Caenorhabditis elegans: one gene and its partners. The protein of the gene in region 1 interacts with the protein of each later gene in a pairwise test. Each region holds a gene or a part of one and is shown in the gene's direction. Other genes may lie near its edges.

What was found.
Region 2: the proteins of rpsa-1 (region 1) and M01E5.3 interact in a two-hybrid assay, tested with the Caenorhabditis elegans proteins (one large-scale study listed by BioGRID).
Region 3: the proteins of rpsa-1 (region 1) and gakh-1 interact in a two-hybrid assay, tested with the Caenorhabditis elegans proteins (one large-scale study listed by BioGRID).

The regions. Positions count from the first base shown.
Region 1 is NC_003281.10:4,747,720-4,755,793, reverse strand, and holds rpsa-1 (Small ribosomal subunit protein uS2), read left to right. Parts: upstream 1-1,742; 5' UTR 1,743-1,747; coding exon 1,748-1,880; intron 1,881-1,952; coding exon 1,953-2,215; intron 2,216-2,262; coding exon 2,263-2,364; intron 2,365-2,411; coding exon 2,412-2,744; 3' UTR 2,745-2,787; downstream 2,788-8,074. Other genes in the region: rbg-3 (Rab-GAP TBC domain-containing protein), read right to left, coding at 1-106, 152-385, 429-925, 977-1,085, 1,132-1,175; B0393.8 (uncharacterized protein), read left to right, coding at 3,424-3,470, 3,515-3,615, 3,663-3,916; VB0393L.2 (uncharacterized protein), read right to left, coding at 5,508-5,761, 5,809-5,909, 5,954-6,000; col-89 (Nematode cuticle collagen N-terminal domain-containing protein), read right to left, coding at 6,662-7,453, 7,505-7,603.
Region 2 is NC_003279.8:13,277,285-13,289,934, reverse strand, and holds M01E5.3 (RNase NYN domain-containing protein), read left to right. Parts: upstream 1-3,435; 5' UTR 3,436-3,595; coding exon 3,596-3,830; intron 3,831-4,371; coding exon 4,372-5,012; intron 5,013-5,698; coding exon 5,699-6,161; intron 6,162-7,235; coding exon 7,236-7,360; intron 7,361-7,417; coding exon 7,418-7,481; intron 7,482-7,527; coding exon 7,528-7,611; intron 7,612-8,195; coding exon 8,196-8,266; 3' UTR 8,267-9,044; downstream 9,045-12,650. Other genes in the region: M01E5.4 (uncharacterized protein), read left to right, coding at 395-641, 691-989, 1,773-1,979; M01E5.2 (Mitochondrial ribosome-associated GTPase 2), read left to right, coding at 9,779-10,022, 10,775-10,844, 10,898-11,009, 11,060-11,167, 11,434-11,504, 11,568-11,765, 12,016-12,289.
Region 3 is NC_003284.9:5,779,044-5,789,175, forward strand, and holds gakh-1 (Protein kinase domain-containing protein), read left to right. Parts: upstream 1-4,361; coding exon 4,362-4,503; intron 4,504-4,551; coding exon 4,552-4,779; intron 4,780-5,109; coding exon 5,110-5,265; intron 5,266-5,307; coding exon 5,308-5,402; intron 5,403-5,448; coding exon 5,449-5,677; intron 5,678-5,738; coding exon 5,739-6,104; intron 6,105-6,153; coding exon 6,154-6,405; intron 6,406-6,710; coding exon 6,711-6,815; intron 6,816-6,967; coding exon 6,968-7,107; 3' UTR 7,108-7,412; downstream 7,413-10,132. Other genes in the region: sft-4 (Surfeit locus protein 4 homolog), read right to left, coding at 266-410, 877-1,188, 1,235-1,542, 1,601-1,669; F46G11.6 (ZP domain-containing protein), read left to right, coding at 7,485-7,653, 7,801-7,973, 8,029-8,169; F46G11.2 (uncharacterized protein), read left to right, coding at 9,120-9,186, 9,242-9,339, 9,930-10,027, 10,083-10,132.

The DNA.
Region 1 (8,074 bases):
GCATTTGGCTAATGGGGCAATTGGCCGATCAATCAGAAGTACATCCCATAGAAAAAGCAAATCGTGTAGAGGAAGTTCTCGGCCAAATAATAAGCGAAGCCAACGACTGTAAATATTTTAATTAAATATTTTCAAAAATAAAATAACTCACATTCCATAAAGTTGTGGTGGTATATCAAGAGTACTAAGATGTTTGGCAAGGGTGGGATCGATTTCGTGTAGAAGATTTCCAATATCAATTAGATCTTCCATCAAACGAGATGCAGGAGCGGAATCTTGCACCCTCATGTACGGTTCCTTTGGAATTGGACGCTTTGGACTCTCAGTGACTGTTGGTTCTTCATACCATCTTGATACTTCTAACATCACCGAACAAAACAGATTACTAAAAATATATTATCAATAATGATTGAAATTTATTCACTCACTAGCTATCCTGTTCGAGGTATTCTTTACAAAATAAGCAATTCAAAATATCTTCTTCTTCCACCGTTAGCATTTTCAACTCATCATTCTCTTTTGCATGTTGAAATGCTTCATTGTCCGAATATATCACGAAAATTAGCGGTGCCAGAATTTCGTGCATTCCTTGACGATAATTTACAAAAGGATGCTCCTTTGCATAAACCAAAAGAATATCTGACATCATTTGCCGAATACTTGTGTTTTGAAAGAACTCAATTTCCGGAAAAGTTCGTGAAACATCTTTGCCGATAATGTCACGAAGATCATTGTCCTCGAAAAATGTATTCCATGGATTTTGCTCAATAGAGGCAAGTGGATTGTTGAATTCAGGATCTTGAGAAAACTTTGTATCGTGTGGGTCAATTAAATGATTTTCCTTGTGAGCTCGGTAAAGATTCCGACTACGTGATAAGCTTATTTCCCAATCACTTGTTTCATACGGCAAACATCGAAGAACAAGCTGTAATCAATTGACTTTTGAAGACTAATTTAGAAATGCCGAAACTAATACCCTCCAAACAGCTGATCTACATGAAGATGAACGCAAGGAGCCTGATGCAGCGACTCTTGCTAGGAGATCATCAGAAAGCTTATATTTGATTAGTGACGTCGCATCAAAGCTGAACACATAAATTCTTTAATATTTTATATCCCCATATTATGCACCTGAGAGGAATGAAGAAATTTGCTGATACTCCCGGTGAATTCATGTCTTGATGGTTGTGCGCATTGTGGTAATATCTGAAAAATTTCGAAGTCAGTTTTCTGATAAGGCAACAACTAATAAATTGAGAATCAATTTACCCTTAAGGAACGATGTTCGCTTCTGAATTTATTAATAAATTTTTCCGTAATTCAATTCAAAATTGTCATATTTAAGAAAAAAACATCAAAAATGACAAATTCAATATTTTAATTAATTTTTGCTTTCGTCGTAAATCTACACACGCGTCTCTTCCGTGCGAGAGTCCAAGCCAGCAGCCAAATTCGTTGACTGAGTATTCAACGTTTATACGTTGTCGGCAACGAGAAATAGGAAAATGCATCGGGAAATGTTCTTTTTTCGATTTTTTCCAAGGTTTTGACAAATTTTACCACGAATTTTGCTATGTTTTCAATTAAAAAATATGTTATTCAACTGTTTCTATGAGGAAAATAAGGCTTTGCATGTAATTTTCTTATTCAGCATAATTTTTAATTAATTTGAATTTTCTGTCCTAACGTTTATTTTGTTTTCTTGGTTATGACTGATCTGAAATTAATTTTTGAATTTTAAGGTAATATGTCAGGCGGTGCCGCTCATTCCGCCCTCACTGAGGAGGATGTTATGAAGCTTCTTGCTACCCAGGCCCATTTGGGATCCACCAATCTTAACTTCCAAATGCAGCAATACGTCTACAAGAGACGTTTTGACGGTTAGTTTAAAAAAAATTCAATTCATTTTTCTTGTGAATTATTTAATAAAATTATAACAATTATCATTACAGGACCAAATATCATCAACGTCAAGAAGACCTGGGAGAAGCTTCTTCTCGCTGCCCGCGCTATCGCCGCTGTTGAGAACCCAGCTGATGTCGTCGTTGTTTCGGCTAGACCATACGCCCAGCGTGCTCTTCTCAAGTTCGCTGCTCATACCGGAGCTACCGCCATCTTCGGACGTTTCTCTCCAGGATGTCTTACCAACCAGATCCAAAAGACCTTCAAGGAGCCAAGACTTCTCGTCATCTCTGACCCACGTATCGATCATCAGGTAAGACTTTTCTAAATAGTTGTTTTTTCTAATTATTTAAAATTTAGGCTGTCACTGAGGCTTCCTACGTCGGAGTTCCAGTCATCTCCTTCGTCAACACCGAGTCTCCACTCAAGTTGATCGACATCGGAGTTCCATGCAACAACAAGGTATATATTTAATTTATAAAAAATGTAAATATGTATTTGAATTGTAGGGAGAACGCTCAATCGGACTTATGTGGTGGATGCTCGCTCGCGAGATCCTCATTCTCCGTGGAAAGATCTCCCGTCAAACCGGATTCGTCCTCGAAGGAAAGGAAATCATGCCAGATCTTTACTTCTACCGTGACCCAACTGAGACCGAGAAGGAGGAGACTGGAGCTCACGCTGATGTTGCTGAGGCTCAAGAATACCAACAACCAACTGACATCGACTTCACCACCCAAGGAGGAAAGGTTGACGATTGGGCCGCTGAGACCGCTACCTGGACTGCCGAGACCAAGACCACCGAAGAGTGGGCCAACGCTCCAACCCAGTCTAACTGGTAATCAATTTGTTACAATGTTGGTTCTTTGAAATAAACCTTGTTAACTATGTTATGAGGTTATTGAACAAATTTATATATAAGAAAAGTCAACAGTTATTAAGACCATGTACAGGGACGGCGAACGTTTTAAAGAATTTAATGAATATTACTTGTGCCAATAGACGAGATTAAAATCGTAATCCCATTTTCCTCTTATGTAAGCTTTCAAAAATTACAGTAATGGGATGATGCAAGTGAATTTCTCGTCATTTCTCGACAATTTTTTTGCAATGCAAGTGTGCGGAGAAATGACGTGAAATTCGCAATTTCTCCGCATTTCTCGACATCCACACATACCGTAGTTGGTGACGTTGTTGGCGGCAAATCGCGGCGAGACCCGCTGTGTCGATTTACGAGGATATATCTAATGTTAGTTTTTCGCAATAAACTTGGTTTTTCTGTCGTTCTTGTTCAATTTTCGTGATCTTTTCGCAGTTTTTACTCTTTTTCATGTATATTTATTGAATTCAATATCGTACTTTTCAATTCTCTGCGCAGTCAAACGTCATTTTTAGTTTTATAGCTATTTTCGGTGGCTTAAAGAAAAAAAATTTAAATTTTCCTTTTCAGAGCTCGATATTGCTCCAGTCTGGAAATGATTTGTTGATGTCGTCAGCGCGATGAATTCCGTCACATAAAATATGTACAAAATCGTCAATAACGATCAGAACAAGATATTGGTCATCGCGTAAGTTCAAAAAGTGAATAGCTGGATTATGAATATAATTTCAGAAAGTCAAATGCTCAATCTCTGCGGAAGACTTTTCTACACTCGTGCCTTCCGAAAATGTCGCTCTCTCAGCCTTGGTCGCATAGTTTTGAAATCTGTCAAGGTATCCCGAATGGTTTTCGCTTTAGTTTCATTCTTATTAAATTATAGAACACAATACGCAGAAGCGCATCAGCTATTCACGGCTACATCGATCAATTGGACGTCTCCGTGTATTCCTAACAGATGATAACTCTATATTGAAATCAACAAATAAATTTATTAAAATGTATATTTTAGTATTTTCCACAGTTATCATGGCACAATCATACTCCTGGGCAAAAAAATACAACAGTCGATTTGGCTTGTTCATAGAAAGTCAGTACTTCCAAAATGTTCTAGCTCCGCAGGCAGCTGAAATATGAAAAACTTGTCAACTAAAAAGTTGTTAGAAATAGAATTGTCAACAAGTTACATAGTGTATCTTTTTGCCATCTTGCATGGCTGAGCAGGTAGGAGCGCCTAATTATGAGTCAAATATCACTAATTTTGACTGATGATATCTCCGTACTCTGCACAGAAAACAATAAACTATCAAACCTGAAACATGTTCCATAACAAACTGAAAAAGTTTGTAGTTGACAATTTTTTGATATCTTGCATGCCCGATGTGGGACATGACTTCGAAAAACTGTCATAGTAGGTAGATCAGTTAGAGGAATAGAGGTTTTTACAGTTTCTTAGTTTTCGAAAGCACCACATTTGGCAAAAAAGTACATAGATACAGTTAGGGAAACATATTTTTACAATATCTGATAAATATTTGACAAATTTTGAAAAAAAAATTTTGGATTTTTTTTAAAATAAAAAATCCAAAGGGTCCCCCTTATGAAAATTTTCTAAAATTTTTTCGAAAAATTTTTTTGAAAACTTTTCTAAGTTTGTTCATATGTTATAGAAAAATGTAAATTTGAATGTTTTTTTTAAGTTTCGATGTTCAGAGCACGATTTCAGACGAAAACCTGGGGTTCAGTAGAACCCCTAAGTTCAAAAAACGCATTTCCTTTGGATGCGTATATCTTTGTTGAAAAATTTTTTCTGACAAAGTGATCAACTACAAAGTTGTTTATTTTAATCTAAAGTACAACTTTGTAGTTGATGGTTATTCTTCAAAAAATTTGATGGTCGATAAAGTTGTGTTAATTGCGGCAGTTTCATGCCTGTATTTTCTTCGTCTTTTTCTGTTCATATCTCGATCATCAAATTTTTTGAAGAATAACCATCAACTACAAAGTTGTACTTTAGATTAAAATAAACAACTTTGTAGTTGATCACTTTGTCAGAAAAAATTTTTCAACAAAGATATACGCATCCAAAGGAAATGCGTTTTTTGAACTTAGGGGTTCTACTGAACCCCAGGTTTTCGTCTGAAATCGTGCTCTGAACATCGAAACTTAAAAAAAACATTCAAATTTACATTTTTCTATAACATATGAACAAACTTAGAAAAGTTTTCAAAAAAATTTTTCGAAAAAATTTTAGAAAATTTTCATAAGGGGGACCCTTTGGATTTTTTATTTTAAAAAAAATCCAAAATTTTTTTTTCAAAATTTGTCAAATATTTATCAGATATTGTAAAAATATGTTTCCCTAACTGTATCTATGTACTTTTTTGCCAAATGTGGTGCTTTCGAAAACTAAGAAACTGTAAAAACCTCTATTCCTCTAACTGATCTACCTACTATGACAGTTTTTCGAAGTCATGTCCCACATCGGGCATGCAAGATATCAAAAAATTGTCAACTACAAACTTTTTCAGTTTGTTATGGAACATGTTTCAGGTTTGATAGTTTATTGTTTTCTGTGCAGAGTACGGAGATATCATCAGTCAAAATTAGTGATATTTGACTCATAATTAGGCGCTCCTACCTGCTCAGCCATGCAAGATGGCAAAAAGATACACTATGTAACTTGTTGACAATTCTATTTCTAACAACTTTTTAGTTGACAAGTTTTTCATATTTCAGCTGCCTGCGGAGCTAGAACATTTTGGAAGTACTGACTTTCTATGAACAAGCCAAATCGACTGTTGTATTTTTTTGCCCAGGAGTATGATTGTGCCATGATAACTGTGGAAAATACTAAAATATACATTTTAATAAATTTATTTGTTGATTTCAATATAGAGTTATCATCTGTTAGGAATACACGGAGACGTCCAATTGATCGATGTAGCCGTGAATAGCTGATGCGCTTCTGCGTATTGTGTTCTATAATTTAATAAGAATGAAACTAAAGCGAAAACCATTCGGGATACCTTGACAGATTTCAAAACTATGCGACCAAGGCTGAGAGAGCGACATTTTCGGAAGGCACGAGTGTAGAAAAGTCTTCCGCAGAGATTGAGCATTTGACTTTCTGAAATTATATTCATAATCCAGCTATTCACTTTTTGAACTTACGCGATGACCAATATCTTGTTCTGATCGTTATTGACGATTTTGTACATATTTTATGTGACGGAATTCATCGCGCTGACGACATCAACAAATCATTTCCAGACTGGAGCAATATCGAGCTCTGAAAAGGAAAATTTAAATTTTTTTTCTTTAAGCCACCGAAAATAGCTATAAAACTAAAAATGACGTTTGACTGCGCAGAGAATTGAAAAGTACGATATTGAATTCAATAAATATACATGAAAAAGAGTAAAAACTGCGAAAAGATCACGAAAATTGAACAAGAACGACAGAAAAACCAAGTTTATTGCGAAAAACTAACATTAGATATATCCTCGTAAATCGACACAGCGGGTCTCGCCGCGATTTGCCGCCAACAACGTCACCAACTACGGTATGTGTGGATGTCGAGAAATGCGGAGAAATTGCGAATTTCACGTCATTTCTCGTCATTTCTCCGCACACTTGCATTGCAAAAAAATTGTCGAGAAATGACGAGAAATTCACTTGCATCATCCCAGAATAGTTTTCAATCATTTTGGGAAGAATAGAGTGCTGAAAAGGTTTCTGAGTTTCTGGCATGATCCCTGAAGACTTTCAACAACATTTTTTAATGAGTTGCCCTTCTCAAATTCATTTCAGGAACTGGAGATTGCGTTTTTAAAAAGTTAAATGTTATGAAATTCATAAATTTTATTGATATCAGAATATTTAATGGGCAAAACGGTTGACAAAAACAGCTGATCTTGGAGGACATGGACAGTAAGCTGCATCGTTTCCTGGTAATCCTGGCCCTCCTGGGGATCCTGGCTGTCCGTCTGGTCCTGCATTTCCTGGAGTTCCATCTTGTCCTGGTGGTCCCTGTGGTCCTGGAGCACCATCGCTTCCGGCGCCTCCAGCATCTCCAGGTGGACCTCCTGGTCCTGGAGGTCCTGGTGGTCCAGCTGGCCCTGGCTCTCCCTTGCCCTTTTCTCCGTCTTTTCCAGGTGCTCCAGGTTCTCCATTCGGTCCCGCTTCTCCATTTGGTCCAGAATCTCCGTCTGGTCCAGGTGGTCCAGGTGGTCCATCTTTTCCAGCATCTCCTGGCGCGCCTGGTTGACCATCGGATCCTGCTGGTCCAGCTGGCCCTTCTGGTCCTGGAGGCCCGGCAGGCCCTTCTGGACATTTGACACATGAAGGATCTTTTGGTGGGCACGTGATAGGAGCAAATGTAGCAGTATTGTCTTCTCCTGGTGGTCCCGGTGGTCCAGCACTTCCAGGTTGTCCTGGCTCTCCTGGTGGTCCCGGTGGTCCTGGTGGACATACTGGTTTTGCAGGTTCACATTGACACCAAGCTGGAAGTCCGGAGAAGTCTTGTCTTTTCTGACGGAAAATTGAATTGAATGGATTCACACGTGGTTTTGATGGTGGTGTAACAGTGATTTGAATATCCATCATATCAGTCCAAGCAGCATCTGTCTCAATTCTGAAGACACTGACTCCGTCGAGTACTTCATCATGAACCTGAACATAAAAATATGAATAAATAAATTAAAATTAAATTTGAAAATTTACCTCCAAAATAGTATTGTAGAGTTGAGGAATAGTGATAACCATCACCAAACATGCCAACGTGGACGCAGTCGCAGCTACACCAACAATGAATTTCTCCATGTTTTGAGAAGAGGAAAACAGAAACTTCTGTTGAGAATCAGAATGATGACGTTGACTTATATACAAGAAGGCGTCAAGTGGATCCAAGTGAGAAGACACAAGTGGGCGGGTGTTTGAAGATGAAGGCGTCAAAAATAATGGGAAGAGGAAAAAAAGGGAAACACATTGTGAATGTGGATGAATGAATTAATGATGATTGGATTTTTCCAGTAGGAGAATCGGGATACGATGAGATGTTTCATATCCATTTTCAGATGATTTATTCCTTTTTTTAGTTTTCAAATATGTGAATAAAATTACAATCTGGCCTAGCAACTCGGGCTCGCGAGCTTATTAATATTAGCAGAAAGTACTGTACCGGTCTCGCCACGAACCAAATATTTTCAAAACGATGCGCCTTTAAGAAGTACAGTAACCCAAATATTATTTATCTTCGATTTCTTCTGTTTTCGGCCATAAAATTTATTTTGA
Region 2 (12,650 bases), on another chromosome or scaffold:
TTCGTGCCAGACAGTGAGGCGATGCGGTCGCGTCGCGTGCTCATGTGCGGTGGAGCGAACATGCTGATCAGGTGTTCGTGACGATTTTTTGCGAGTTCCCAACCGATTTTCGAGGATTTTTTTTTTTTCTGTTGAAATTTAGAATTTTTATTTCAATTTAAACGTTGAAAATTTTATAAATTAAAGGTGAAAACTATGGAATACATGAAAAGTTCTCATACACCCAATTAAAATCATTTTTACCCTTAAAACAATTCTTGATTATCGATTAAAACTAAACGTTTTCCCACTACATTTTCGTACTTTTCCTGCAATTCCAAGTGTATTTGAAGCTTATCAGTCAGTATTCTCCATTCGTACCGAAATTTCCCCTATAATTTTCTTATTTTCAGTAATGACGCGACCACATCAGCCAAGAATAGACTTAAATCACGGATTTCTTCGATTTATTAGACGCAATCAAGTTGATCGCGATGAGTACAATCGAGTACATGAAGAAAGAAAATCAGAGATTCGCGAACGAATTGGCAGCAGTGATAGTTCACAGGATGGTGAAGAGAAAGCTCAGTCGAACGTCTATGTTCCGCCACACTTGAGAAGGCAGAAAAAGGAAAATGAAGAGAAATTTTCAGCTTTGAAAGGTAATTAAAGCAAGTTTTTCCAGGAATATTCTAAAAACTCCATTTTCAGCTTCCCGATCACAATCCCAATCAGACACTGGTTCAGAAGAAGGCGAAGGAGCATCAGGAGGCGGTGAAGCCAGTTGTCCGATTCAACAGAAACAGAAAGCATTTGATGAAAATGTACGGAGACAAGTACGCCGAAGAATCGAACGAACTCACCCGACAGTCGATGATATTTGCATAGTATTGGCCAATTATAGCCTTCAGGAAGCCGCTTCAAAAAATTCAGAAAATTCGAATGAAGACCTTTTCGAGTTGGTTTTGACGCTGAAATCCGGAGAACAGAAGACGATTGGAGTGCCCAGGGTACTGCTTTACTGCTTCACCACTGGTTAGAGGGGAAAAATAAAAAATCTCATGTTAATTAGTTTTTCCCGTTATTTTTTGATATTCCCATCACTTATTTTTCGGTCGGTTCGGTTTCATCACGAGTTTTTGGATGAAATTTAGTCTTAGACCCCCCCCCGCCGCTTATCAAGGTGATACGATTTATGGCTTTTGTTCCCCACTACGTGAAGATACTGTTTTTAAGAAAATCGATAGAATATTTCGATTTTTTTGTGGTTTTTTGAGTCAAATTCAAGGTTTTTTGGGCTTAGTTTAGGTTTTTAAAAACCAAATGTATAGAGTTTAAGCCAAAACTAGCGGTTTTAAAGTAAAAATTGCGATTTTACAGCTAAATTTAGATAATAGGGTTCTTAATGCCAACTTTTGAGAATTTTGAGCTTAATTTAGGGTTCTTGAGACAAATTTAATAGTTTTAAAGCCAAATATAGAGGTTTTATAGAAAAATGTCGAAATTTTAAACCAAATTCAGGGTTTTAAATACAGATTCAGTGGTTTTAGCCAAGTTTACGGTTTTGAGCTAAATTTACAGTTTTGAAGCCAAAGTTAGGGAGTTTTAAGGGTTTTCAAACTAATTTAGCGGTTTCATACCAAATCTAGGGGTTTTAAAGCCAAATTATGCATTATTTGTGCAAAATTTAAAGCTTTTAAAACAACATTTTGGCTGTTTTAAACCAGTTTTACTAGTCTAAAGTCAATTTTTGAGATCTTATTAGCCAAATGAATAAATTAATTTAATTTCAGAACACACAAGCCGCCCGTCTCGCGAAGTCTCTTTCCCGCGAACATCATTTTTCGGACTCCCAATGCAGAAATTTGCGAATTTTCATTGAAGAGCAACTCGAGCTCCGATTTGCTCGTGAGAAGTCAACTGCCACGTCATCAGATGCATCGATTCCCGGCTCTCCGACGTCTTCATCGGAATCATCGATTATAGAGTTTTCTGCTTGAAATATCAGAGCTTTTTGTGTGACTGTGTTACTGTGTTGTTGTTGATGTTGCTCGGCTTAAAATATTTTAATGTAATTTTTAAATTTGTGTTAAGAAAAAATCAAGCTCTTTTTATATTCACTTTTTAAATTCAAGTTTTCTGTTTCTCTTTTCTCTGTCGCTCTCTTTGTCATTTGTTCTCGATTTCCCTGTTTTCTCGTCATTTCCACATTGACTGGTGCCGTTTTTTTGTACTTTTTATGTCGAAATTAGGCAAATTTTAGGCCTGTGATCGTGTTTTTTCTCCTTCTGTGTTTTTTTTCGATATACTCGCGCCATCATATCGATTTTACTTCTTCGGTTTCCTCTTTTTTCGAATTTATTTTAATTTCAAATATTAGTTGTAATGAATAGATTGCAAGCTTTTCGGCCGCCACCTAGGGCGGCCATTTTTTTTTTTTTTTTGAATAATTTTTTCGTCGTTTCTTATCGACTTTTTCTCAAATATCTTTGCACTTTACCGTTCTTTTTTTTGCGTTTTACCCCACAATTTTCGCCTTATCGCACTTGTTATCGTCCTATCATGACCACACTTTTTTCTCTTTTTCACGAGATTTTTCACTCTCTGTTCCCTTTTTTGCCCAATTTTTCCCCTCTGCTGCAAACGACGCTCCAACATTACGGCATTTGTGTGTATGTGGTGGAGACGACGAGAGTGACACTCATGTCCTCGGCCTCGCGGTTTTGCAGGAATTGATTGATTTTAGGGTGGCAAATCCTTCGACTTTGTGTAGAATTTGGAGAAAATTTTGGAAAATAACTCTAGAAATTGTCAATTTTTCCATTTTGAGCTCACGTTTCTTTAAATTTCTGATAATTCCACTTTTCCCGATTTTTTTTTTGGCTCCTCGTTCTCGAAATTTTTCCTCGATTTTTTAAAAATGGGTCTCGCTGCGAAAAAGTTTATTTACCTGTCTTAAGGTATTAATTTTTCTCACATTCCAAATGGTATTATTCAAACGCGAGATTGTGCGGATGTCTGTCACTCTCTAACTATCTACACTCTCTGTACCGGTAATACTTGACTTTTAAAAATCGTTAGAAAAACTATAAAATAAAAGTTCCACAATCAACGAGAGTTTTAAGCTACAGTACTCTTTAAAGGCGCACACATTTTTCCATTTAACAATAATTTTTGACGTTTCTAGACCGGGTACTGTAGTTTTGAAGCAAAAATAATAAAGAAAAAAGGCTTCTTAATAGTATTTTGTAAGAAACAAAAGCAGCAATCTTCGTGATGTGCTACCATACGAATTTTTCGCGTCGAGACCCATCCGATCAATACACCTATGCGCCTTTAACAATACGTACGGTTATCTATCATCAATTTTTGCCCTCTTTTGTTATATTTTTCTCTAATTTAACCACCTTTTTCTCTCAGAAACCTCAATTTTTTCCATTAAAAATGTAATATTTCAGGACCCGTCGGTCGGTGAGCTCCTCGCCAAACGTTTTTCATCATTCCCAACATAATCATTGCACCGCCACAGCCGCCGCCGCCACCACCGCAACCAGCACAACAAAATCATCCGTTGGTGGCACGCCGAACAGCCAGCGATCAATCATCAGTGACACCAATGACGATGGTCAAGACGCTGGTAGCGTTGGCTACAGAACGAATGCTTCTGAAGACGAGTGGGCCGACGTTTCTTCGAGGAATTGAGTTTATGTATGCTGCTGGGCTGGCACCGGATCGGCTATCGGTTATGATGACGTCATCACACAAATATGTGCTCCAATTTCACTCGAAATGCGACATTCGACCATTTGCAGCAAACTATCCGAATTTTGGAAGAGTTCTCAGAGGCATTGGTTAGTATTTTGCAAGTCTGCGAAACCTTTGTTGCACTGGACAATAACAATTTTAAAAAATTGAATTCTAATGAAAAATCGTGACTTTCAGTCATTTTGAGCTTAAAATCAGTTAAAAATCTGATTTTTAGAGAATTTTGTGTAGAAAAATGTTGAATAGCAGCAATTTTCAGCTCGAAAATCACTGAAAGTTGTTTTTTTTTTAATTTTTCGGTAGAAAAATGTTGAATTGTATCAATCTGAACCTTTAAATAAGTGAAAAATTGGATTTTTAGAGAATTTTGGGTAGATAAATGTTGAATTTCATCAAAAGTTTAAAATTATTAGAAATTTAATTTTTCGGTGATTTAAATACTAGAGAATCAAGAATTTTCGTCGAAAATTGGAAATCCTCGTGGAGTACACGAGCCTGCGTAAATCGACACAAGAAATCACATCACAGATTCGAAAAAAGTCTCGTTAATTGGCGTTTAAAAGTTAAATGCAAAAAAAATTATGATTTTTTCTATTTTAATATCCTTTAAATTCGATTTTTTTTCAGTGCACGTCCGTGAATGGCGTATAAAATCGATAGAATTTGTGAACGTTGCATTCTACATGCGTGATGTCGACAATCTTGAACGTGCCATTGAGAAGCTCGGCGTCGAGTTGGTACTCCTCCGAAATTGCACATATCCGGGAGTTCAACGTGGCGATGAAGCGGTGAAATTCCTGTCAGCACTGAATCGAAAGAAGCAGGCAGTTGTATGTGAATATGGAGATGATCGACTGAAACATCGAATTGGTAGAAGATCAAGTGGAAATCGAACACGAAGAGCCAGCAGGAATGGACAAGAAATTGTGAATCCAGCAATTGCTCCGGGAGCCGCGGCGGCCGCCCAGCCGGCATTAGAAGCTGCTCCAGCGGCACCTGCAGCAGGAGCAGCAGCTCCAGAAGCAAATGCACCACAAGCAGCTCCGCCAGGCATCAGACGTCCGATTCCACTCAATCCAGATCAAGCTCGTCATATAATTCCCCAGCTTTTGAATCCAGGAGGTGCTCAGCCTGCTCCAGTTCAAGATGGTCCAGTCCGTGGGCCGCCAGGTATCATCAATCAAGGAAGAGTCGTAGTTGGAGCACATGTCTATGAGTTCCGAGCTGCTGATGTGCCCAATGCTGATGGAGTTCCCGCTGTTCATAATGTGAGGGAGTGGATCAGTGAAAAGAAGGCGGAGCATTGTTTTGCAAGACTGCGGCGCGGTTTTTCGTTTTTTTTTTCGGAAAAATGCGAAAAATAGCGAAAAATTAAATTATGTTCAAATTTAACGCTTTTTTTTCTTTTTTTGGCGATCAAAATCAGTGTTGAAACCGAAGAATGCGGATTTTATTTTAAAAAAAGAATTTTTTTGCCAAAATCGCGTTAAAAAAAGAACTACGGAAAAAAAAGTCTAAAATTCAGGAAAACCACAAAAAACAAGAAAAATTGCGAAAAAATGAAAATCCAACTTTCAAAACACCAGTTTTCAATTTTGGCTCCATATTTGAATTCCCTCCAAAATGTGAACTCCCCAACCAATCAGCATCTTCGAGCTCCTCGATTGGTCCAAAAGTGGGCGGAGCAAGTCGTTAATTGGTCGGGGGTTCTCATTTTGGAGGGAATTCAAAATTCAGCCAAAATTGAAAAATCACTTTTTTAGAAGTTGGATTTTTGATTTTTCAGCGGTTTTTCTCCTTTTTCTTTGGTGGTTTTTTTTGAATTTGAGACTATTTTGGATTTTTTCTTTGAAGCAAAACGATGCTCTGCCTTGAAAAATTGCTATCTTGCTGGCTACACCACTGAAAAAAAGTTGAATTTCCATTAAAAAATTGTAAAAAAATTAAATTTCAGATTAACCACCTCCTCAACGTACTCAATGAAAATGCGGGAAATGACGTCAGAGTGATTGTTCTGCCCAGCCGAGTTGGTGAAGGACTTCCGATTCATTTCAACAATAATGATCTGATATTCCGTCATCAAAGTCGACCACAACCTGCTCCACAACAAGCTGCTGCTGCTGCTGCTGCCGGAGCTGCTCCTGCTGTAGCAGTTGGAGCTGAGCCACTACCACAACCAGATGATGTACAGATTGCTCCGATTCCAGCAGATGAGCGGCAGGCACGGTATGCACGTGTTCAAGCACGTCTCGGACATATGATGAATGCGAGAATGCGGCAGAATCAAGAAGATCAGCAATATTATTACGATCAGCAACCGCCGAATTTGATGGTTGTTGGAACGGCTCATGCACATTATCGTAGACACATGAATGCACAAGCTCATCAGCAACAAAGAGAGCCCAGTTGGAATAATTGTGAGCAAGATATGAGAATTCTTGCGAAAAATACGAAGAAAAATGAGAAAAAACCCGAAAAAATGGGATTAAATATCATTAAATTAATTATTTTAATCAATTTTAGCTTTTTTTTATTTTTATAATTTTTCAAAATTTAAAATTTATTGGAACTGTTTTACAAATGTTATAAATTTCACCTTGTAAAAAAATTTCTTTAAAAAATTGATTTTTCAATTAAAAGAAATAATTCTGGGACATTTTACAAAAAAAAATTAGAAACTTCATAAATTTTTACACCAAATTGTAACAAGAATTCAAAAAAAAGACGGCATTGGTTGTAAATTTTAAAATTTATTCCAGAAACCTCAAAAAACCCCCAAAAAACCACATTTCATAAGGAGTTCTTGTGAAAATGCCGAAAAATGGCTAAATTTTCAATTTTTAGCTGTCAAAAATGAGTTTTTATTCAATTATCCCCCATTTCTCACATTTTCAATCGATAGACACCAATATTGTGCTCTTTTGTGCACCTAAACTACCAAAATGTGAAAAATATGGTGATAATTGAACAAAATTGGAGATAAAAGATAAATTAATTTAAATATTTGCTCTAAGAAATTTGAAGTGACCCTAAAAAAATTAAACTTCAACATGAGACTTGTAGAAATGTTCGAAAAGACGTAATTTAGGCTTTTTTCGAACATTTCCACAAGTCTCATGCTGAAGTTTTATTTTTTTTTACCTTTTAGAGCAAAAAGTAGAATCAATTTATAGCTTTATTTTACTCATTCCTAATTTTATTCAATTCACACCATATTTTTCGAATTTTGGTAGCTTATGCCGGTAGGTGCATAAAAGAGCACAATTTTTGAGCATATCGACTGAAAATGCGAGAAATAGGGTAAAAATCGATTAAAAACTCATTTTTGACGACAAAAACACGGAAAATTTGGGACATTTTGCGATTTTAGCCATATTTTCGCTAAAACTCCTTATAAAATGTAATGTTTTGGTGGTGATTTTGAGGTTTTCAGAATAATTATTACAATTTTCAAACAATTTTTCTAATTAAAAATTTATTATATTTTCCAGATGCAGTTGCAAATGCTCCTCCAGCCATAATTCAAAGAAATCTTGATGCTCCAGCTCCAATGTTCGGTGTCGCAGTAAATGAGCCACAAGTTCAACGGAATGGCGATGATTCGAATGACTCTACGGTATTGATTTATTGATTTTTTTTTAATTTTCTAATTCTAATTTCTCAATTTTTTCAGGATCGAGAAGAGATTTACGACGCCGAGCAGCAGAGACAAGAAGCGTTGAGAGATTTGGTGGCTGGTAAGAGCTTAGATTTTTGAAACAAAATTAAATAATTCTTCGAAAGTTTCAGATCCAGAAGCTCAACCAAATTTTGCGCCCGTCGAAGCACAGGCTGTAGATTTGGATATGTTGGAGGAAGAAGGAGAAGGTACGTTGTGTACTACACGAGGAGAAACTTTTTTTTTCAGATTTTGGATGAATTTTTATATTCTCCAAAATCCGAAAAATCCAACAAAAATTTATTTTCGCTTCCTTCTCTGAATTTTTGTTGGCTTTTGATCCGAAAAAGCAAAAAAAAAATTTGACGAAAAACACCAAAAAATGAAACAAAAAATCAATTTTTTTACAAAAACCGAAAAATTGTAATTTTAGACAAATAAAAACCAAAAAAGAAACAATTTTCTACCAGAAACTTTTAGAAAACCAATTTTCGACATAAACTCCGAGAAAAACCAATTTTTGATTTACAAAAAAAAAAACCCGAAAATGCCAATTTCTTACTAAAACTAAAAATAAATAAATAAAAATCCCATTAAAAACTTTTTAAAAACAAATAATCAAAAAAAAAACCAATTTTCGAGAAAACAAACCCGAAAATATCAATTTCTTACAAAAAACCCATAAAAAAATTTTTAAAACAAAATTTAAAAAAATTTCGGTTAAAAAATGTATGCCAAAATTTTAAAAAAATCTAAATTGATTAAAAAAAATAATATCTCTCCAATTTTGCAGACGATGAAGTGATGGAAGTAGGAGGAGTCGACGGACAATTCATGATGGATGGCCGAGCAGTTATGGAATAGTTTTCCCTCGTCCACGGCCACAATCACCTCTTCATTCAACAACTAATCTTTCTCACTAATATATTCTTGATTTTCCCCAAATAATCCCATTTTCTTCTTCATCTCCATTGAATTTTCACGTATCCGGGTAGTATTTAGGATATCATTTCGTTTCAAACCAGTCCCCCCACCACTTTTTTTTTTTTGAAATCTGAAATATTCAGATTTCCCCTGTTATTATTTAATACTGTCACAGTCATTTCTGTACCTTTTTTGAAGTTTTCGCACTGAAAATTTTCCAATTTTTCATTAAAAATAGCCCAATGTGTCGTCGTTTGTGCCTTTTCGGTCCTCCTGTTTTTCTCGAAAAAAAACCCGCTTTTTAAAAACTTTTCTTCATATACTAAAACTTTCAGTAATCCCAGTGTGTGTTCTCTCTTATTCATTTTTTCCCACCAATTTTCATACAAATTTGAAATTGTACAGAATTTTCCCTTTTTTCCTTTTAATTCTTAATGCTAAAATCACTTAATTTTACCCAAAAATAATTTACCATGTCTTCTCTAATTCCCTGTCTCTCTCTCTCTCTCGCTTGATTCACAGTTTGACGTACTCCGCCGAACAATTTCGCTTCTTTTTTTGTTGAAATGTTTTTTTTTCACACCTACATAGCCTATAAGCTCCAATTATTGTGTCTCTCAGCGGCTTATTTGATATATTGTCCACAATATTTCTCGTGTTCCTTCTCCTTCTCGCTGACTTGGAGATTTTGTTTTTCCAATGAAAATGTATTTTAAATTACTTTCAAACGAATTTTTTCAAAACAGTAAAATTTTCGATGGTTTTCCATATTTTTCCCAGAAAAATCGCTAATTTTGATGAGCATTTGAATTGCCGCGCGCTCATTCTTAAGCTCCGCCCATTTTTCCGTGCCGCATTTTCCAGGTTCGGCGCTAATTTTTCGATTAATTTCTTTATTTTCTAGTGAAAAAAAAGGATTTTTGTGGAAAAATTTCAGCCAAAATCCGAAATTTTCTATTTTTTCGGTTTTTTTCGGAGAAAATCAAAAAAAAAAATTATTTAAAAAAATAGTCGAAAAATGTCTTCAAAAGTTGAAAAAACATTAAAAATTAAAATTTTTCCAATTAAAAAAAAACCAAAAAAGTTTCGTTTCTCGCCATTCCGAAAATTTCGAAAAGTGCGGCACGGAAAAGTGGGCGGAGCTTAGAGACAATAAAATTTTATTGATTTGTTCATTTTTTTCATGGATTTTACATTAAAATTCAGTTATAAAATAAAAATAAAAATAAACAAAAAAAATGTCTTCAAACGCTGCAAAAATTTTTTTTCGCCTTTCTGAAAATTTCAACAAAATTCAAAGTGCTGCACGGAAAAATAGGCGGGGCTTAGAGACAACTTTTTGAAAAAATTATTGATTTTTTCATTTTTATATAGATTTTACATCAAAATTCATTTATAAAATTGAAAAAAAATTCTGCAAAATTAAATTTTAGAAAAAATTACTGGAAAAAAATGCGAATTTCCCTGCAAAAATGCTCCAAAACCGCGTGCTCCGTCCTATCAAAACGTCCAATTTTATCGCCGAAAAAGCCGAAATCCGAAGGAGAAGCCACTTCATTTATTGATTATCGACGTGTTAGATGTCAGGCTGGAAATGGTGGAAATGGAATGGTTTCATTTTTTCGTGGATATCGGAAACCATTTGGTGGTCCAGATGGTGGTGATGGTGGACATGGGGGACATGTCGTTTTTCGAGGTACTTATTGCATGCTGAATTATTGGAAAAGCACGAAAAAATCAATTTTTTCAACGAAAAACTCAACCAACTTGGGTCTCGCCACGAAAAAAACTTTTCAGCTACAGTAACCGCAATTTTTGGGATTTCCTTGATTTTTTACATAGTCCAAACTTGTTAAAATTTGAAATAAAAATCAAAAGTGAGTTAGAAAAAAAATAAGCGGGTACGGTAGCTGATTTTCGTGGTGGGACCCGAGACTGTGAAAAATTGATTTTTCAGCAAAAATTTAATAGAACACCGGTGAGCATTCAAGAAAATTGTGAAATTTGGTTTTTTTTCATACGAAAAAAAAAAAATTCAAAAATGGAAATACGTTTTAGTCGTAAATTTTTCATTTTTGAGTGAAATTTTACAATTTTTTAACTCTAAAATTCTGCGGAAACCGATATTTTAACACATTTTCACCTAAAATTTCAAGATTTTCCACTAAAAAGTAGTCTTTTTAACAGTTGAAGTGAATTTTCACAGTTTTTTGATTAATCTTCCGTAAATTACGTTCCATGGTAAAATTTTATAAAATAATAATGAAAAATTGAAAAATGTATAGAAAATTCAATTTTCAGTCAAGCTTTCTGATTTTTAATATAAATTTATTTCAAATTTAGCGCGAAAACTTTGCGATTTATTGAGAAAAATTTAAACTTAGAAAAAAAAAGTTTTTAAAAATTAATTTTAAAGCTACAAATTCTAAAAAAAAATCAAATTTTCAGCCAGTCGCAGTAGTAAAGATCTCTCGACAGTTCACTCAATCGTACGGGCTCAAAATGGAGAATTCGGCAGGTATCCGGCTACCACAAAAAAATCGTAAAAAATCTAATTTCTACATTTTCCAGATCAAAATCATGTCACGGAAAATCAGCAGACCATAAAGAAGTTGAAGTACCTCTTGGTACCGTATTCAAAGCTGATGGGAACACAATTTTTGAGTTAAACAACGAAAATGATGTGAGATTCTCTCGATGGAGCGTACTTACAACATTCAACACTTTTTTTAGATGTTCATTGCGGCACGTGGCGGAGTTGGAGGACGTGGAAATCAGTTTTATGTGTCGAATGAGGTCCGAAAACCATTTAAAGCAGAGTATGGAGGAGAAGGAGAAGAGGTTTTGTTCATATCTCTTTTAATTTCAGTTTGTAGTCGATTTGGAGTTAAAATTCGGAATGAGCGTAAAATTTTGGATCGTAATGATGTGCGACATGACCAGAATAGGCCGGGCCTGCTTTGTGCCTACTTCATGCCTACAGCCTGCCTACCCGTAGGCACAAAGTAGGCATCGGGCATGTCGCACATCGATCCGGGCCTAAATTTTGCGCTGATCCCGAACATGCACTCCGAATTGGGCGAAAAATTCAAATAAAATTTTTTCAGCTAATTTACGACGTGGAAATGCGAGTTATGGCGACAGCAGGCCTGGTTGGATTCCCGAATGCTGGAAAATCGTGAGTTTTTCTGGAAATTTCATATAATTTTCGCGACGAGACCAAAATGTGCTCAATTTTCAGTTCGCTGCTCCGTGCAATTTCCCGAGCCAAACCGAAAGTCGCCTCGTACCCATTTACAACGCTCCACCCGCATATTGGTGTTGTATTCTATGAGGATTTCGAGCAAATCGCGGTTGCCGATATTCCAGGGCTCATTGAGGATTCTCATTTGAACAAAGGGCTCGGAATCTCTTTTTTGAAGCATATCGAACGATGCGAGTAAGGGAACATTCACTGTGTCGATTTACGCAGATCGTGTAGTCCTCGAGGATAAGATTTAGGCTGAAAAACTAGATTTTAGCCTATTTTGGCTCAAGTTCAAGTTCAACAGTAAATTAAACATGTACCAATTCTAATAGTTAAAAAAAAACTGTGAAATCTTTTCCTCGTGGAGTACACGAGCTGAGTAAATCTACAAATGGTCGTGTTCTTCTTCCATGCTAAAAGGTTAAACATATCGTGTTTTCAGATCCCTGTGGTACGTATTGGACTATTCCACTGGATCACTGACAGATCAATACAAAATGCTCCGCGTTGAACTGGAAGGATATCAAAAAGGGCTTGGAGATCGAGCATCAACAATTGTAATCAATAAGATTGATTTATCAGGGAAGAGCCCGGAGGAAGAAGCTCACCACCTCTCTTCACTCTTCCCGAATCTCCCTGTATTTCCTGTTTCTGCACAACAACGGATAGGATTGGAGCCTCTATTAGAGCATCTTAGAGAACAATATGATAAATGATTTAGTTAGATTTTTAATAAATAATTTTATTTTCCGTTGACCTTGAATCCAATTAAACTCAAGTCGCCGTCTCGCAAGAGCCCGATGCGTAGACTTCTTTTTAGTGAACTGCCAGAGTCACTATTTTTAGTGAACTGCCAGAGTCACTTATTTTAGTGAACTGCCAGAGCCACTTATTTTAGTGAACTGCCAGAGCCACTTATTTTAGTGAACTGCCAGAGCCACTTATTTTAGTGAACTGCCAGAGTCACTTATTTTAGTGAACTGCCAGAGCCACTTATTTTAGTGAACTGCCAGAGCCACTTATTTTAGAACAATCTATTTTTCGTGAAACAATCTATTTTTTCGTGTAACAATCTAT
Region 3 (10,132 bases), on another chromosome or scaffold:
CCATGAAGTTTTAGGGAAAGGAAGAAAATGACAAAAAAAAATAAAAGGAAATAGATATGAAGTTGTAACATTACGACAAGAAGCATTGGATGGGAAACCGAGGGAAAACGTTCTACTCTAAATATATTGATTAAAGGAAATATCGAAAAAATCGAAACAGATTCATAAATTATATAAACAATCCAGGTAAATTTATCGGGGTGAGTGAGTGTAATGCAATGATTTGACATAGAAATGCGTATAAGTACTGGTGTTAATGGGGTATCTACCATCTTTTCTTGTAGTCATCGACTGACACTCCTCCTGGTCCGTAGGCAATGACAAGGAGAAGTCCTCCAATGACGGACATGGTTTGGAAGAAATCGTACTTCATGAAGTCTCTGTAGAAGCGGTCGGAAGGAATGGTCCACCTGAAAAATCAATGTTTCAATTATGGTTAATCAAGCGTCAAATTGTTATAATTGGTTTTTTTGTTTTGATTAAAGTGGTTATTCAAGTAATTTTGCGAAATGTATTTTAATACATTTTTGACGTCACAGCTGTATTAAAATACAAGTTTTGTGTATTTCAATACAGTTGTGACGTCATTTTTCTATACTTTTTAATTTTCCGACACTACTTGAATAACATCATTAAGAGTGATCTGTTCTTCACTGCGGATCTGGGTGTCAATTGCACTGGCTAGTTATACACCCAGTGAGCTTTAGTTCGAGTCACACTTGAGCCCGGGACTGTGGCTGATAATCCAGAATCTAGAGGGAGCACTTGAACCAGTGACCTCATGATTGCTAGCGGCCACCAGTACCGACTGAGCTATCCCGATCATGTTGTGATAATTTCAGATTGTATAGTTTCGTTTCCACATCAAATACTTACCAAGCATTAAGCCAAAGGTTAAGTCCGAAGAGCCAGATGACAAGAACAATCGCGGAAAGCTTTGTCTTGTAACCAATTGAGACGAGAGTGATGAGAGCAAATCCAACAACAATCTCCAAAACTTGCATGAAGGACATCTCAAAATGCATCAAAGACATGAACATGAAGATAAGAAGAACACGTCCGGCAAGAAGCATGTACGATTTTGGCTTGTTCGAGTCTCCCATTGTTGGAACTCCGGCGAACAGGGAAGCCTTCTCTTCCTGTGTCTCGGCAAGAAGGAGCAAAAGTCCTCCACCAACGGCAATGTTTCTGAAATTTTACGTTTATTGCGAGTTCAAAGGAAACAAATGATTACCTGGCCAAGAACTTCAAGTCCCAGAGAATATGGTAAGCGATGGTTTGGAGAATGACAATGCTGGCAAGAATTCCACATGCGACCAACACCTTCTTGCGGAGCATGATCATTAAAACCGGGATGAACTGTCCGAAGAAGTTGTAGATGACGAACAAAGTTGCGATGAACCAACCGCAAGACCAAGACTCTTGCATGAACTGTTTTTGATCATCCCATTGGAAGTACATACGGATTCCATCTTCAAGGAATGTGGAGACGAGGCAGAGGCGAGCAATGTGGGGTAGGTAGGTCCTTGTTTTGCGGAAGAACTGAAATTCGCAAGTTTAAAGTTCATAGTTCATATAATAGTTTAGAGGTATTACGTACATCTTCAGCGGCGTCTTCTGCTTTCGCCAGCATTTCGTTCTGACCACCTGGAGCCCGGAACTGGTTCATTTTCCAAGAGCTGAAAAAATAGGTTTGGAAAAGTGTAGTGTAAATTAAGAAAAAAATCGGAAAGATGATAAGAAGTTGATAAAAAACGAGACGGGCGGTGACGACGAACAAAAATGCTGGAAGAGAATGAGTGGAAGAGAAGAATCGAAGGATTAGATGGTGGATTGAATGAATGACTACAAAATGGAACACGTGGCATGTGCACTTTACGAAAGATGTGTATTGCTGTCTGCGTCTCTCTTACGATTGACGCCAGTATTAGAGGTCAACGGATCAATAGTATCTTTTCCGAAACACTACACACAACTGTTTCGATTTAATATATCTTTTGTGTTCATTGAGAATAATAGAGGGACAGATCGGATTGAATGAAAATGTAATCAGACAAGATGAGATAACATGAGAAGAGATAACCTCTCATCAAAAAGGTTGTAAATACTATGGCAGTGGCGCATTAATTTAATGAACGAAGAGCTAACTAGTCTAGATGCTATCAAATATCGAGAGTAGTAGAGAAGACATTTATTGCCTTTGTTGGCGCAAGCAGCCTACGTAAATTTCCCATTTTCTGGGTTTTCTGAATTTCCAATGAGCCACCGCGGATGACGTATTTAACAACAAGTACACACACAAAAAATCGGATGACATATGAAAAATGGAAATTAAAATGAGAACAATCGTCGCCAAACATAACATCTCTCCAGGTAGGAGGAAAACCGTCAAAGCTGCACAATGTCAACACACAAGGCGGTCACGACTTTTTGTTTATCAAACTGGCCAACAGATGGCCGCGCCGATGAATGGTGGATATTTGGAACGGAATTGAAAATTTTTAAATCTTTAATGATACACGTTTTAAAGCTGGGTTTTAAGTGTATTTTGAGCAAACGTTGGGTTATCTATTTTGTTTTTAAAGTTTGACAAAAAGACGTCAGCTTTCGCTGAATACACTGGCAATGAATACACCGCGTCACGTCATCGTATACACAGAATTGATACTGAACTTGCGGAAATAGTACAGCGAAGTCATTGGGTAAATGAGTAATGTACAATAGAGAATGGAAATTATTCTTTATCACTTCCGCTACAGTTGTGTAAAAACTAAGCTAGGGAAAAAACCTTAAACTGGTTGAAAAAAGCGGTTCAAAAGTAAGAGTTTGGATGTCAACGGGCATAAGTGACGGGCGTTTATGTGAACGACTCTTTCCTAAACAGGTTTTCTCCGGACAAATGAAAACGAAAACATAAGCGACGAGAAAAGAAGGGGAACTGAACCGAAAGGGGCAAATGGAGGAAGAGGAGGCACACGAAATGTAGAGAGACCGCGTCGCAGCCGCACGCGAGCTGATGTGGTGGTTGTGGTTTGAAAATAGAAATGACACTCTCGAAAAGGAAGGAGAAAGAGAGTATATCACCGCTCCCGAGTATCACCACCTGCCAAGTAGGTGCCATTGAATTCAACCATTTTTATGAATGAATTATGATTTAAAATACATTAGAAGTTGAAGATAATCGAAAGACTACAGAAAAAACGCAAAAAAAGATAAAAGTAATGTTACATAAAGTTTTCGGTAAAACTGGTTGAGCGAAAAATCACAAAAGATGTTTGTTTTTACGAGAGCTGCAACTGGTTCCACGTTGTTACATGTTGTGAGGTAGCAAATGCGTCAGCAGCCACCACTTGGCGCGTTTCGTGTGCGTTCCCCCACACCAAAAAAGGGCGCATTGTATGCAACATTTGCGTTTTTTCATTGATTTTCCTAATTTATTACAACGTGAATTTATTTTTAAACAGAAATCAGTACACTAACATTCACAGTCTTGCAATAAATGCTGCACTGACAAACAATAAGTTTTGCACTGAAAAAAATCGTTTTTTGTCATTGCAAAAAATTTTCAGTTTGCTGTAAAAATTAAATGAAACCTTTAACCCGTTTTCTTATAAAAGAAAGTTTTAATTGTCTTGTTCAACAAAACATTGAAAATTTTCGCAACGATTAAAAAAGCAATAGATGTGATATGAACTTTTCTATTTAAAATTGAAGAACATTGTGTTAGTTTCTACTTTTTTTTTAACATCAATTATTTTTGATCAATGATCATTTAAATTATTGGCTTTCTTCAAACTCGCTCCAAGCAAATTAGCTCAATTTTGCCAACAACACATCCTCCGTTGCCAACCGACACCCCACTTTCGCTGCTGCTGCCCAAATACTCCGCTTCTCTCAGGATTTTTCGACCACGAGAGTACATTTCAGTAGATGCGAGATGGAATCTATCCTATTCCTGACAAATAATGTGAATTTCTTGCCGTTAGTCTTGCGCTAATGGAAATGTGTACTTTATATTCTATGCAGATGAAGCTTTAAAGATAGGAAGGCTTAAGCGTATTTCTTATTGATTGAAACGTGTAAAAACATCATTTGCAAATTTAGAATAATTTTTGAGAAGCAAGATATGTAAATTGAGAAAAGAATGTTCTTCATAAGTCCAATTCTTAATTTTGAAAAAAATTATGTTATAGATACCACCTGAGACCTTTGAATTAAATTGTAAATTGTACATTTTTATCCCTGGTCTTATACTTTTTCATATATTTTTTTCCTTTTTCATATTGATGCACCGCTCATAAAACTATCACATTTTATTATTTTTAATGCACTCATTCTACTATAAATCTGCAATTTCCAAGATGGCATTTGCCCGCGCTCTTGGTGTGATTCAATCTGTCGGTCGAGGCGCAGGAATCAGTGAGCAGAGTGAGCTCTACGATCGTGGTCAGACATTCAGCATTAACGGAAACAATTATCGAGTGGAAAAGGTAATAGCCAAAGGTTAGTGGCCATAAATGACAATTTTCGAAGAGAGCTTATGTTTTGCAGGCGGTTTTGGAACGGTGTTTCTTGCGACCAACACCAAGGGAAAACAAGTCGCCGTGAAGATCATGCTGAGCCACGATGCAGCCGCGACGAAGGATATTGATAATGAAATTGATATGATGAAGAAGCTCCAACACGAAAATATTATTCAACTGTTTGATGCGTCAGCTGAAAGCAGAAGTTCAAATCGGTCCGTGAAAGAGTACAAAATATCAATGGAATATTGCAAATGTGGGTTGAATTTTTTTTGTTGCAAACTCACTCTCAAAAAGTATATTGTTAAAGTGGAGTACCGAAAGAAATCGGCGATTTTGTCTGAAAAAAGACGCAAAATGGCCCAAACCTACCGAATTTTGTGTAATTTGTTATTACTAATTTATTACTTGTTGATTCGTTGATTGAGATGTTTTTCAGTCAGTTTTTTTTCAATTTTCAGAATGTCTCATTACAAAACTGGATAGTTTTGGGCCATTTTGGGTCTAAAAAAGCAAAGTCTCCGATTATGGTACTCCACCTTTAATGTACATACAATTTAATGTATATAACTAAATTTTATTTCAGTTTCAATTGCGGATGTGCTTCTCAAGTACAAAGAAGTCTCAATTGACTTTGTCGTTCGCATAATCTACTTTACAACAAGAGCCCTAGTATATTTGCATTCCGTCGGCGCCATCCACCGAGATATCAAAGCAGAAAATTTGCTTATAAACGGAAATGGTTGGTCTTTCGTTGCTGATTTTAGCTAAAACTATTTTTCAGGAAAACTAAAACTATGCGATTTTGGAAGTGCTACAACAAAGTCCATCGAGATGGCACCACTATCAAATTCCGAAAGATTAGCGGTTCAGGAAGAGGTCATTCCGAAATAAATTTTAAATGAAATTGAAATCTAATTTTCAGATGTTCAAATACACAACACCTATCACCCGATCCCCAGAAGTTTGTGATGTCTACTCAAATTGGCCTATCGGAAAACAACAAGACAACTGGGCAATGGGGTGTTTGATCTATTTTGTTGCGTTTGGAGAGCATCCATTTGATGGATCAGCGCTGGCAATTATCAACGGAAAGTACAAGAAGCCACCACCGGTTCAGCAAAACCAGTTATCAGCGTTTGCAGATTTAATTGGTAAGGAGTTTTCTGCTGGGCGTAAAAATAATAAATAAAGAAATATAAACCCAACTTACAGCAAAGTGTCTGACACCCAATCCGGATGAACGAATTACTGCTGCAAAAATTGAGGAATACATGAAACTAGCAATGCAGAAACAACCAAAACTAGCTGCAAAAACTGATTTCACGGATATACTCGATCTGATGAATGTTCAACCGGTACAAGCGGAGCAAAGTATCGAATCGCAAGCTGCAAAAGGATTCTTTACAATGCAGGACAAACTATTTTCCAATTTGACATCACTCAAAAATACAGTTGTACAGCAGACGAATAAAATGGGATGGGGAATGGAGCCAACAAATACTACACCACGCCCCGGGCACCCTTCAACATCTCCGAAGCTTGTGCCAAAAACACATAGATCAAATCAACAGCAAGAGAGTGAGTGAATGAATTGATTGAAACTTCTCTAATGCCAGTATATTTTCAGAAAACGCACCACCGAGACCACCCACAACAGCAAGCCCTCGTGCAGCCCCAGTTGCAACATTCAAAGTTTCATGGCCGACTGATAGTTCTCAGAATGATTCTGCAAACGATTGGGGAGACTTTAGTCAAGCACCGCCAGCGGTGAATGTTTCGAAAAAAGACGTATTCGATCCGTTTAGCGAGTCAGCATCACACAATTTGTCTGCAAAACATAGCGAAGATCTGTTATCCTTACAGAATTGGCCAGGAACTGGTAAGATTTAGGACACTGAAAACTGCGGAAAGCAATTGAACAGCAATTGAATTCCAAACGAATCCTATGTCATTTAAAAGGGGACCTTCAAACCAGATTAAAATTTTTGATGATTTGTACGGTGCTTAGATGAAGGCAATAAGGCTACTTCCTGTCAAAACTTGGAAACTTTCTCCCAAACATTCTGAATATATTGAAAGCTTTTCTGTGAAAATTTTGCAAGTGTCTGACAACATTATATGTTTTTGAGCAGCTACGAATAATTTCCAATATATTTCCCTATGTTAAAAATAATTTGTCTTCAGCTGAGCACAAACCAGAGGTACGATCCCAATCTTCACGAGACTTGTTTGACTTTGACGACCTGATGCTCCGACACACGACACCTTCCGCCGAATCTTCTCAAGCTGGTACGGTTTGTTCCTCTACGCAGTTATCATTTGCTATGTATTCATTTTGTTACAACCTCCTCTTCATGAATCACTAAATGATTCATCAAAGGAATCAGCCCAAACCAAATGATATCCTCTTTTCAAATCTCATTTCCTTTTTCCTTTTTCAGTTTTACAACCAATACGCCAAGTGGAGAACAAGAACTTGACCAAAGTCGATGTTTCAAAAAACGGAATTGGTTCGTCATCCTCTTCTGCCAGCCTGGATGATATGGTCAGCGATATGATGAAAATGTCAACCAAGAAATAGATTAAAATAGTAAAGTAGTTCAAAAATTATAGTTATTTATCATATTTTCACTTTCTTTCCCGTCCTGTGAATGTTTTGTACGAATTTTGCCAATAATTGAAAGATGGAAATGTACTTATAACGAGTATCTTCTTCTCTTCAATACTCATTTTATAAATCTTTCAGAAAAAAATCCATCCTCATTCCTTCATTTTTTTGTTTCTCTGTAAATAAAATGTATCCTAAATTATGCTTACTTCTTAACTTGTACATCAAAAAATTCAAATGTTTTATCGTCTACGAAAAGTAATAAATCAAGAAGAACACATTGTTCCGAACGCAATGACCTACTTGTATCGGGGTATCTCCAGAATGGAATGAATCGATCCAGCATACAAATGTCCAACCAACTTCTCGTATTCATACTTTTTCTTAGCGTTCTAGCGCCCACGCTATCCATCTATAAGTCAAAACAAAAACCGAACTTGTTGTCGAAAACTGTTGATAATAGTATAACGTGCGACTTTTCGATTCACAAAAAGGGACCTTATGGACAAGTTGTTTCAGGTATGCTTTAGTTCTGGTGTTTGAAAAAAGTTTCAGAAAATAACAAATTTGAATTTAAAAAAAAAAGAAGTTTGTAAAAAACTACAAACATATACAATGTCTGTCAAACAGCCTCTGTTATTGTTTCAAAAAGTTCAAAAATTTCAGGAGCATCTCTTGACGACGAGATTTACTATAAAATAAAGTGTAAGCCAATAACTGGAAATTGCCTCCAAGTTGTAAATTGCACATTGAGCTCGGATGAGCCAGGTTTCCAGCCATACCCTATTATTGATGATATGGGATGTAGCCTTGAAGAGTCACTGTTCAAAAATGTTCAGGTATCAAGAATTTAGGAAATTTGGAGAACAATATCTACAAAATGTCTATTTTCAGTATCCAAACCACTTTGAGGCGGGAATCTTCAATCCCTTCCCAATTCGGTTCCGTGCGTCGTCTGCCGCCGTTGTCTTGTTCTGTGTAACAACTGTGGTTCCAATTGAACATGGGCAGTGTACTCGCAGAAAATGTCAATAGATGAAGTTTCATGTTCATTTACTTTTCACTTCTGTGATTTTATTTAACAACTTCGATTTTAAATCTATGGTTATCTGGTGTTTTGTCATTTAAAACATTTTAAAGTACACGTTTTCATTGAATGAATAACATGCATATCACAATCGGAATTGTTTTTTTTTTTCATTCTCTCTGTGTACTTTCAAGCCAGACAAACATTACGCACGTATTCAGAAAAAAAGTGAAAAAAAAACGGTTTATGCAAATGTATCAGAATACCATGCAAACCAGCTGTAGTATTAAAAATTTGTTATATATATTTTTTACTTTCACTCTCTATCTATTTTTTTCTGTTTTTTGTCGGCCTTGAACTTGAACTACCTTTTTCCAATCATGAAGCAATGAAGCGAGCGTGGATTTTTTTGTTTTCCGCTGTGATTTGCTGTTTCTATCATCTCTATCCATGAATTGCATCACCGGATTGGAGGCGAAGTGTCCTACTATAACCGGAGTAATTCGATCGATCGATCAACCCTGCGCAAGCGAAATTTAGAGAATCTCCCTATGCGCTTGTTGAATGGAGATATATTAGAAATATGGTTGGAACACGCGGATGCGCAGACGAGTCTCGCAATTGACCGGTTTTTAGGAAAACTTTTCCCCCGCTTACCTCCGGACGTTCATCCTTAATACTGTTATTTCTAGAAGCGTCAGGCGACCTTTTCAATAAGTTCACTAAACATGAGTATGTCGCAAGGCGCATCATTTAATCACTTGATCCAGTCTTGGATCGTAGTTGCTTCATGCTTCATGACCCACCAAAGTGAAAGACTATATCATTTTATTCACCGTTTCTTATCATTTTCGTCTCTTTCTCACTAAATCGGTCACCGTGATCTTATCCTTAACCTCGTTCTTTATCTTTTCAATTAGGTGTTCAATTTTTTGTGATCACAAAGCCGTTTTTCCAGATGAAATGTTACTTACTTTTTCTGTTATTGGTACCTGTAGTATTATCAGAGCGAAGCAAAAGGCAAAGTAAGTTTTATTTTTAGCGTCCTTGTAAACCTAAGCAATCTTTCACAATTTTCAGTTTCAATTGATGACATTATATCCGGCGCATTAAGTCTCGTGAGACCGATCTTTGACACTTCAAAACCTATTCAAAACGAAGGAATGCTTAGAAAACCAGTGAGTTAAACCAGTAAGCTTAAACCAGTAAGCTCAAAATCAGAGTCAATTCCAGAACTGATCGAATTAGGTGATATAAATTGAATCACCAATATTGCCTGTAAGCTTCTTTGCAAGCTTAAACGGTGAGGTAAAACAATCTGGGAATTCGATTTTTAAACCCAAAATAGCTAGAAACCTCCGAATTTTGTAATGAGACGTACTCAAAATTCCTCAGAATTACTGAAGGCGGTTATAAGTACTGAAAAAATGACTGTTTTAAAATCTCCAATTTTGCAAACTTGACAAAATCAGAGCCTAAATCAAAAAACAGGACGTAATTACAAAATTACGCAATAAAAACTTACATCCACAAATGGTCGCGCAAAATTTCTAGTAAATCGAGTAAAATTTGAGATTTTAGTGAAAATTTACATTTTATTCAAAATTTAGAACCGCCATACCGTTTTTGAAAAAAATTTCAGAACGTCTTATCACGAAATTCAGTAGTTTTGAGCATTCTGAACTTTCCAATGCTTCAAAAATTTTGAAAATGACATACGCGAGCACGCGTAAAAATTAGTTCCAAATAATACATTGAAATTTTAAAGGACGCTCCAACTCAAGATGATATGCGCGACTCATCAATTTTGGGATCACACTCGAGAACTGCGTTAGATGATGTACCACTTTGCAAGGGGAATAGCAAGTAAGTAATTCGAATGTTTTGGAACTTTCATTTTTTTTTATTTTGGGAATTTCAGTATTTGCCGATTCATTTCGTGTTCTGCTGAAAACTTCAAAAAAGATCCGA